Canis lupus familiaris: one gene and its partner. Each later gene encodes a partner of the first gene's protein in a complex. Links are inferred from orthologs where the notes say so. Each region holds a gene or a part of one and is shown on either strand. Other genes may lie near its edges.

Region 1 (4,414 bases):
CCAGAATTAGGGATCTCCCACTGGCATGGAGTGCAACTAGAATAAGCCTGATTTATAAATGAATGAACAAATATATGGAAATCATGATCTCAGTTGGGCCAAGAGATACATACACACCAGGTGAAAAACATCCCTAGAAGCCCTTGGATGAAATTCTCTCTTCAGCCTTAAAGTTTTCTTCCTTCAGCATTGCAGAAGGGATGACTTCCTTGCCTGGCCTTGATCAGCTCACCCTAATAGAAGAGAAAGGGGCCAACTCAGGGAGAAATGAGATCTGTACAAGTTCATATGACGGTGAGTGACTACATTGCTAATAGCTAGTAATGGGAGGGACTTATACATACCCTCTCACAACTGATAAAACTGATACTGGTTAGTGAAAATAGTAGGACCAGAGTCCCAGAAATCAAGAACATCGCTTTTACACTAATGCTTCCACCATAAGCTTTCAAGAGAATCTACGATGCTAGGTTTAGGGTTGTTAGTCAGTTTCTGGGCACCCCTGTTGTGGTACAGATCCTACCATAATGAGAACCTAGGGCTGAGGTCTATCAGGCTACTCCTTCCCTAAATAAGGTGTTGAGTAAATACTGCTGTTTCATTCCCAGAGTGCTTTAAAGCTGTATTCATCCTACTGGGGCAAAATTCATGGGAGTGTATATCAACTGCCCTACCAGAGCCTCTCCCACAGGAGGCTGTGAGACAGAATGCCCAGTTCTTAGGTGTTTGGCTCTACCTTCTGCTCTTTAGTGGAGGATGATAGGCAGCAGCAGGTCCTGGGACCTGCATATGTCATCTGGGGTCTCTAGATCTCTTTTCTGGAGCCTACATCTAATTTCAGGTTTTTCTCCTATGGTTTTCAAACACATCAAGGGGGAAAGAAGGCGCTCACAGTACCTCTTCTGAGTCCAGGATTATAATAAATCCCAGAAGTTAAGAGTAGAATATTGTATACCTAAACTTTTATTTCTCCTATATTAATTAATTAATGAGCCAAATAAATTCACCAATATCTAATATACTTGCATCCCAAGGAAGTAAGACCACATACCAAAAATAAAATTTAGAGCTAAAAAGAGGAAGAGGATAGGGCATATTTTGAGAATATTTAAAATTATTTACATGTGTTAACCATGGCACATGAGGATGCAATCTCACAGGCTAGAATATTCTTTAAACTATACAGGTGGCAAGAGATCAGAACCTGGATTTGAATATTTTTTCCTTTAGTGCATTGTAGTGAGGTTGTCGAAGCCCCTTTCATTTTTATATAGACATAAAATGAGAATAGTAAAGTGGATAAAAACACAAAACAATTCCTTATACAAGCAACAGTTACACGTGATATATTCACAACATCCTTCATGTAATCTGTTATTCAGTCCTCACCAGGATATGTAAGTTTTTGATGTGTCACTTACAAATTAGAAGAATAAAGCTTAATCTAACATGAAATAATTAATTTCATTTCTAAAAAATGAAAATTTATTTTTATCATTCTAAATCTCAATGTCTTCATTGGATTTTCAGCTCATTATTGATTAGCCTAGTAACCTCAACAAATTACCTACAGGCCTTATCTTCTTCACTTGTAAAATTAGTGGCTGGGTTGTAGAAACTTTAATTAGGGCTGGAAAATAGCAGGTATTATGCACAGGACTCTGTTTATTATAGGGCCGAGATTCCTTCTATTTTGCTATAAACTACTCTCCTAAACAATAGCCAGGAATAAAAGTATCCACAAAAATACTACCCATACTCATTACAAGAGAATTTTCTGACCAATATCCAAATTTGAGTCCATCATTTCCATTAATAAAGGGAGCATATCAGTGTGTCATTCTACATATTTTTTATCACTTGTCCTACTTTGACCAATATCCTAAGTATTGTAGTCAACATATAACCAGAGTCACAATGAACACATCATCACTTCTAGAAGATAACTTCCAGAACATATGCAGTTCACAGGCTAACCAAGATAACAATAAAAACAAACCTGTTGATCCAAACAATACCAAAATGCCCAGCCGTTTAAACTGCACACCATTTCCCATCACATCTATGCCTCTGATTTTTTTGTTTTTATTTTTTTAATCTATGCCTCTAATTTTATACTGTTGATTCACATATGAAAAGCATCGATCTTAAAATTACTAAGTTACTTAAGAGACAAGATTCCTTCAAAGTATATTCCATCTTGCTGTGTAAGCTTTTATTCTCTCTCTTCTATCATTGTGTCATGTAACTAGAAGTCGTTGCCATATAGGATTTCTAGAAATTTTTCACTAACAGAGCCTCTTGGCTTCAGAAGCTTACCTGGTGGGATGAGAAAACTGACCACAGACACAGCACATAGTAAACATCTGCAGACCAACGCTGCTTTCGAAGTAGCTCTCTTAATTCAGGTCCAGAATCTTAAATCTACTGCTAAAGACCCTAAGGGTGTGTATGGGGTGGGGCAGGCTGGGGGTGGGTGGGAAAGGCTGGCAGCAGATGGCGGCTATCACCATCCTGGGGCTGGGCACACAGCAAGAAGAGGCACTTACTTGCGACCATGTGACAGGTCTCCAACAGCACCTGGGGAAGGAACCCTGAGAAGCACAACTCCCTGGAGCCCTTTTCTCCTCCTGGGCTTCTTTTTCTTCCCGGATCTCTCTGGCTTCCTGAGTTCTGGTTGCTTAGGAGGTGTTGCTAGGCTGGCGTCTGCCCTCACCAGCTGATGCTACAGGCCACGACGGCTCGGCGGTGAATGGGCCCCCACTGAATTCCCAGCTAGAAACCGGGTCTTTGGGGTGGCTGCCCAGCCACTGACCCGCAGACCCCTCCTGGCCAGACGCGCAGTGGAGCCGCGCCTGCCGCCTTGATGCTGTTTTTGTGTCCTCCCTCCTCCCTCCCATCCCCCAGCCACGCCACCCTCTCCCCCGCCCTCATCCCCAGGCCGGTGCGCGACTTCGCCTTCCAGACCGGGCGTGGGCGGGGTGATGGAGACGGAGCCTGCCTAGGCCTGAACTGCAGCTGCAGCGCGTCTCCTCCACAGCTGCCCCAGGAGGGCGGAGGCCAGAGGAGAGGGAGCGGAGAGTTCTTCGAGAGCTTGAAAAGATGGAGAGAAGTGGAAGGGGATGCAGCTAAGGGTTCTGGAAGGCTGGGAATAGGAGGGAGATGGGGGAGAGGAAGAGAGGAAGGCAGCAAACTCATGTCTTAACCTCTAGTCGCGTTCTCTATCCTCTTGCATAGCTGCCCCAGTAGAGCTTGTCAGGGGGCAATTGTCAGCCTGCAGTTTTCAGACCTGAACATCACTTAGGGATGTGTGTGTGTGGGGGTGGCCTGTTAAGGAAGGAATGGGCTGGAGCTACTACAACCTCATTCTAGATTTCTTTCCCACTCTGGTGATTTGAGGTACAAAGAGGAAAAATCATGCATATTTGGAAAAACTGGTGTGCAGCAATGAAGTTTGGGGGTGAAGGGAAGAGATGTTGGACCTTCTTTCCCAAAGGGAGTTTGGAAACTGTTACATCATAGAATGTTCACTTATAACTCTATCTTGTTTGCAAATGGTGATGTTTCTTTAAAAAAAGACAAAAACAAAAACTATTTCTACAACACACCAGGAAAAAATAACAAAAATGAGGAAAAGGGAAAAGAAACCATGTATATTTATGAGAGGCTTTAAGTTTATATTCCAAAGTGTGAGAAAGAAGTGTAAAGTGGAACTAAACACACACTGGTTCTCTGCATACCATGTCAGATACTGCATGTTTCATCCATGATTCACAGAAAAGGCCTTGTTACATGTATTTTGTTTGTTTAAATTAACACTTGTTATGAAAGACTTCAAACATATACAAAAATACAAAGAAGGTTTAATAAACTCCAATGTACTCATCACTCTGCTTCAGTCACACTGCCTCAACTATTGTCAACACATAGCCAATCTAGTTTTATCTATGCTTGCCCTCACACCTTGGATTAGCTTAAAAGTAGTCCAGACAACATAATATTTTATCCAAAATTATATTAACATAAGTCTCTGCATAAGCACTTTAAAAATACAACCCCCTCCATACAACCCAGTACCATTATCATACCTAATAATTAACAATTACTTCATAGTGTCAAACATCCACTTGATATCTTTTTAACAAACAATGTATGGATTATCATCTCTTCTTTCCCACACTTTGTGATGGCAGTACAAGTGAATGTTCTAGTGCACAGAACTCTCCTTTGGGGCAATCCAACTTATCTATCCCTTTTCACCCAGAAAAATCTATGCATCTTTCAGTATATTAAAACATAAGAACATTTAACAAATTTAATATTAAATATTTTAAAGCTTAAATAATATACTTGACATAAACTTCTTTGTGTAATGTGTAGTGAAGAGGCAACTAATCCCAAGACACTATGCAAA
Region 2 (3,648 bases), on another chromosome or scaffold:
TTTTAATCTAGGAGTTCTGTTTTTCTTCTCCCTGAACAACAGGCCAGAGCGGCCTCTTCGACCCTCACACCCCACCATTGCTTAGATGTGCTCACTCCTGAGTGACCACGGCTTTGGCGAAAATGGCAAAGGCACACTCTGGACATTGGGGAATGAGAGCCCCTACATGGGTATTCGATTGCTGCCAAGGTCCAGGATGAAGAACATGTGGGCTCGGAGCTCCGTAGCTAATAAAAGGCAGTACCCAGGTGGCCTGGTGAGTTCCACAGTGTACAACAAATGGCTGAGAGTGACACAAAAACATGAATGTTTGGAATAGATGGGCCTAAATCCCAGCCTCTCCTCTCAGTATCTGTGGCCTCAGCAAGCCACTTAACCTCCATAGGCCTGTGTTAGCATCTATAAGATGGTCATAATAATGCTAACTTCATAGGATTGTGATGGCAGCTTATGGCTTTTTGTTTTGTTTTGTTTTGTTTTTAGCTTATGGGCTTTTACATCAGAGGTTAACAGTACCGGTTAGGAGTTAGCAGACACAAATCAAAACCTTGCTTTGCCTCTTACAATGGCCTTGGGCAAACTCTCCCGAGCTCAGTTTTCTCATCTGTGGGTATATTAATTCAGCCTCCCTTGAAGATCATGGTGAGGAGAGTGGAGGACTGTGTCAATTGCTTAGCACCTCACCCGTGACAGCAAGCACTCGAAGGGGCCAGCTAGCATTATGTTGGCATCTTAGAACTTACGCATTTTCTTGGGCCGCCTCTTCAGCCTTTGAGACCTTCCTGTAGCAATATATCATCTCAATGAGCAGCCACAAGGTGAGGAAGACCAGCAGGATGTACATCATGATCTCTGAGACCACAGAGGTGAAGTCCTCTCCAGCTGCAAGGGGGACAATGAGGCTTAGAATGTGCATGTCCAACAAACCCAGAGCTGTCACTGGGTCAGAGATATATGAGACCTATTTTTAAGAATGGCTTAATGGCTTAAGTAAGTACTGGTTCTAAGGAACTCAAGAAGGCTTCAGAGTGATTTAATATCCTCTGATGCTCCTGTCTGTCAGCTTTCTCACCAACTTTCTTCTGGGGTGGGGGTTGAGGAGGAATGAGGAGTGGAAGAAATAATAGAGCAGTGGAAGCAATCTTGGAACGGCCTGAGATATAAGAGCTGCGTCCCTATTTTGTGTGAATCATCATTGCCCTTATTTGAGACCATTTGCCTAAAATGTAAGGCAAGGGTAAAACCGTTCACACCATTGCATTACCTGGCGTGTTCAAGAATATCTTGTGAGATGTGAAGGTCCACACAGATGTGGGGAGCGTATCCCGTCCAACCACCTGTGTCCTCTGAGCTTAGGGTGGCAGAGGGAGAGAGGGTGGGACACATGTGTGGGGCCAGTACGGTCAGCCTGCCCGTGGTCTGGGCGTGCTCTCTCCACGTCTGGATGGGAAACAGGGTCCTTCCCAGCCCACTTTTCTGCTAGGTCATCCCAAAACCAAACAGAAATGAGAACTGGAGCATTCCATGTATTAAGCAGACTTTCTGAAATACAAACCTGATCCTGCCATTTTCATGCTTAAAACCCTCCATGTTCCATGCTGCCCTCAGGAGAAAGACCAAACTCTGTTAACAGGGCATGTGGGACCATTCACAGTCCGGCTCTTTTCTCCTCATTTCTGCTTGATGCACCAGCAAAACGTCACTTCTCATATACACTGTGGTCTTTGGGGATCTGTGGACTTTTCTTCACCCTCTTTCCCCTTCCTCATTTCCCCTTCTGTGACTGGACTCCCTCTGCTACCTCTGTCCCCATATCCTCTCCTGCTTTTCCATCCCCTGACCATTCTTCCCAGTGCCACCAAAGTCCCCCGCTCTGTGAAACCTGCCTCAGCCTCTCCTCTGAGCACTTTTTCTCATCCGTCCGTTGTTATTGTGATGTGTTTCTCTCTCTTCTCTAGTGAGTGTTTGCTTATTAAGAACACATTTTACATATTTCTGAATTATCCACCTGTCGTTTCATCCCGGCGTGTCTGAAGTACTCAATAAGTATTTGTTGAATGAATGAATATAAATAAATATCGATCTTTGTTTCACGGCCAACCCAAATGACAATTAAAATATGATATATGGCAAATTGTCCTGATACATCTTCCTTTCTCATGGGAAAGAAGATTGCAGCCACATATTCTGTTGCTAACTCCTACCAGTGAATTAGATTCATGCTCCTCGGTTATTCATAGGCCCCGGTCATCCATAAGGCCTCGCTCATTAAAAGCACAGAATAGCTCCTACCATGACCCTCAGCTCTGAGAAGCAGTCCAAAGACTCCAGGATCACCCACGTTTCCTGGATGCTGGACCTCCTGAGGCTAGAGGTCATAGATGGAGCTTGAGGCACAGAAGAACACCATGCACATCAAATGCCTTTTTGTGGGCTCGACATTACCTGATTTGTGATGCATTCATCTCAAGGAACATGCTTTTTAAATGCAATAGCCTGGAAGTAGTAACACAGGAAGAAGCCATCCATGCTCAGTATTTTTAGTCACTTCTAGGTGAAGAGATCTCAGATTTTTGTCTTAGAGCCAGGAGGTCAGAGCTTAGGGCAGGATAAGTTCATCTTGAACAAAGAGAACCAGAGAGATTCTGGGAGAACATAGGAATGGAGGAAATGTAGTGGGGTGTGTCAAGGTGGAGCGTGTGGCTCTGAGCCTCATGAGAGCAGTGAATGTGGGTGGCGGTGTTCTCAGGCTGCCATGGGGTCACAAAGGAAAAGGAAAAGGAAAAGGAAAAGGAAAAGGAAAAGGAAGGAAGGAAGGAAGGAAGGAAGGAAGGAAGGAAGGAAGGAAGGAAGGAAAAAAGTCATGAAACGAAGGAGAAGAAAAAAAGAGTAGCAAGGAGTGGGATGGTAGTAGAAGGAAAAAGAGTCAATGGACAGAGAGGTAGCCTGGTGGGCGAAAAATCTGGCTTGTAGTCCTGCACCTGGTGCTAATTTGCTTCATGTCCCTAGGCAAGCCCCTCACTGATCTCCCCACCACAAAATGAGAGGCACCAGAGCCGCACCCTCCAAGCAATCACCTGGGGAGTCATTTCTATGACATAAGCCAGACCTCACTCCAACTGCCAAAATCACACATACCCACAGGAGTGCAGAGATGTCTACACTGAAGGAAAGCCCCCTGGGCGATTCTGACTCCTGCTCTTTGTTCAGAACACCTGGATGAAATGAGAGCCAAGCTTCCCTCCAGCCCTACCATCCCGAGAGGCTCTGTGGTTCTGATGACAGACTTGTTTTCCTCCTATTCTGGCCCAAGCCTTGCTCTGGTGCCCAGCAGGCGGCCTGGTTCAGCTTCGCCACCCTTTCCACTGGAGGCAAAAGCCTGAGAGAGCAGCGGGTGAGACAGGCACCTTCCCAGGGTCCGGCGGGCACAGCCAAGTTCCCGGTGGTGAGCAGTAGAGGGCGCCGGCTTCTCTTCCCCGGGGAGAAGAGGTGTGTAAACAGAGAGGATAATGGAACTTCTGAACAGAAAAATACCTTAGAGAGCTTCCAGTCCAACCCATTCCAGGTACACAAGAGGAGATGTGCTCAGAGGGGGAAGACAGCTCATCAGGCCTAAATGCCAGTGGTCCAAGGGTGCTTCTGCTCGTT

The links. The genes of interacting proteins can lie anywhere in the genome.
Region 2: the proteins of SCN7A (region 1) and SCN3B are in contact, whole or in part, in a cryo-EM structure (PDB 7TJ9), measured with the Homo sapiens proteins. The link is inferred for Canis lupus familiaris from reciprocal best matches to the Homo sapiens genes SCN7A and SCN3B. Residues at the interface, in NP_002967.2 of Homo sapiens: Arg269, Glu293, Tyr296, Leu298, Glu299, Leu305, Gln315, Cys316, Pro317, Glu318, Gly319, Tyr320, Asn922, Ile923, Thr926, Cys927, Lys929, Ile930, Phe939, Ile956, Tyr957, Asp959, Gln960, Ile966, Tyr970, Met973, Ile974, Tyr977, Ile978, Leu981; in NP_001035241.1 of Homo sapiens: Val25, Cys26, Val27, Glu28, Val29, Arg44, Ile46, Lys50, Arg51, Glu52, Glu53, Val54, Asn95, Gly96, Ser97, Asp99, Gln101, Asp102, Phe126, Phe128, Ala130, His131, Pro133, Val135, Thr154, Ser155, Ser158, Glu159, Met162, Leu165.

The regions. Positions count from the first base shown.
Region 1 is NC_049257.1:11,861,858-11,866,271, forward strand, and holds the start of SCN7A (sodium channel protein type 7 subunit alpha), read right to left. Parts: upstream 2,885-4,414; 5' UTR 2,560-2,884; coding exon 2,550-2,559; intron 2,450-2,549; exon of another isoform or gene 2,320-2,449; intron 1-2,319. UniProt on the Homo sapiens protein: Sodium leak channel functioning as an osmosensor regulating sodium ion levels in various tissues and organs. While most sodium channels are voltage-gated, SCN7A is not and lets sodium flow through membrane along its concentration gradient.
Region 2 is NC_049226.1:10,827,938-10,831,585, reverse strand, and holds part of SCN3B (sodium channel subunit beta-3), read right to left. Parts: intron 883-3,648; coding exon 744-882; intron 1-743. UniProt on the Homo sapiens protein: Regulatory subunit of multiple voltage-gated sodium (Nav) channels directly mediating the depolarization of excitable membranes.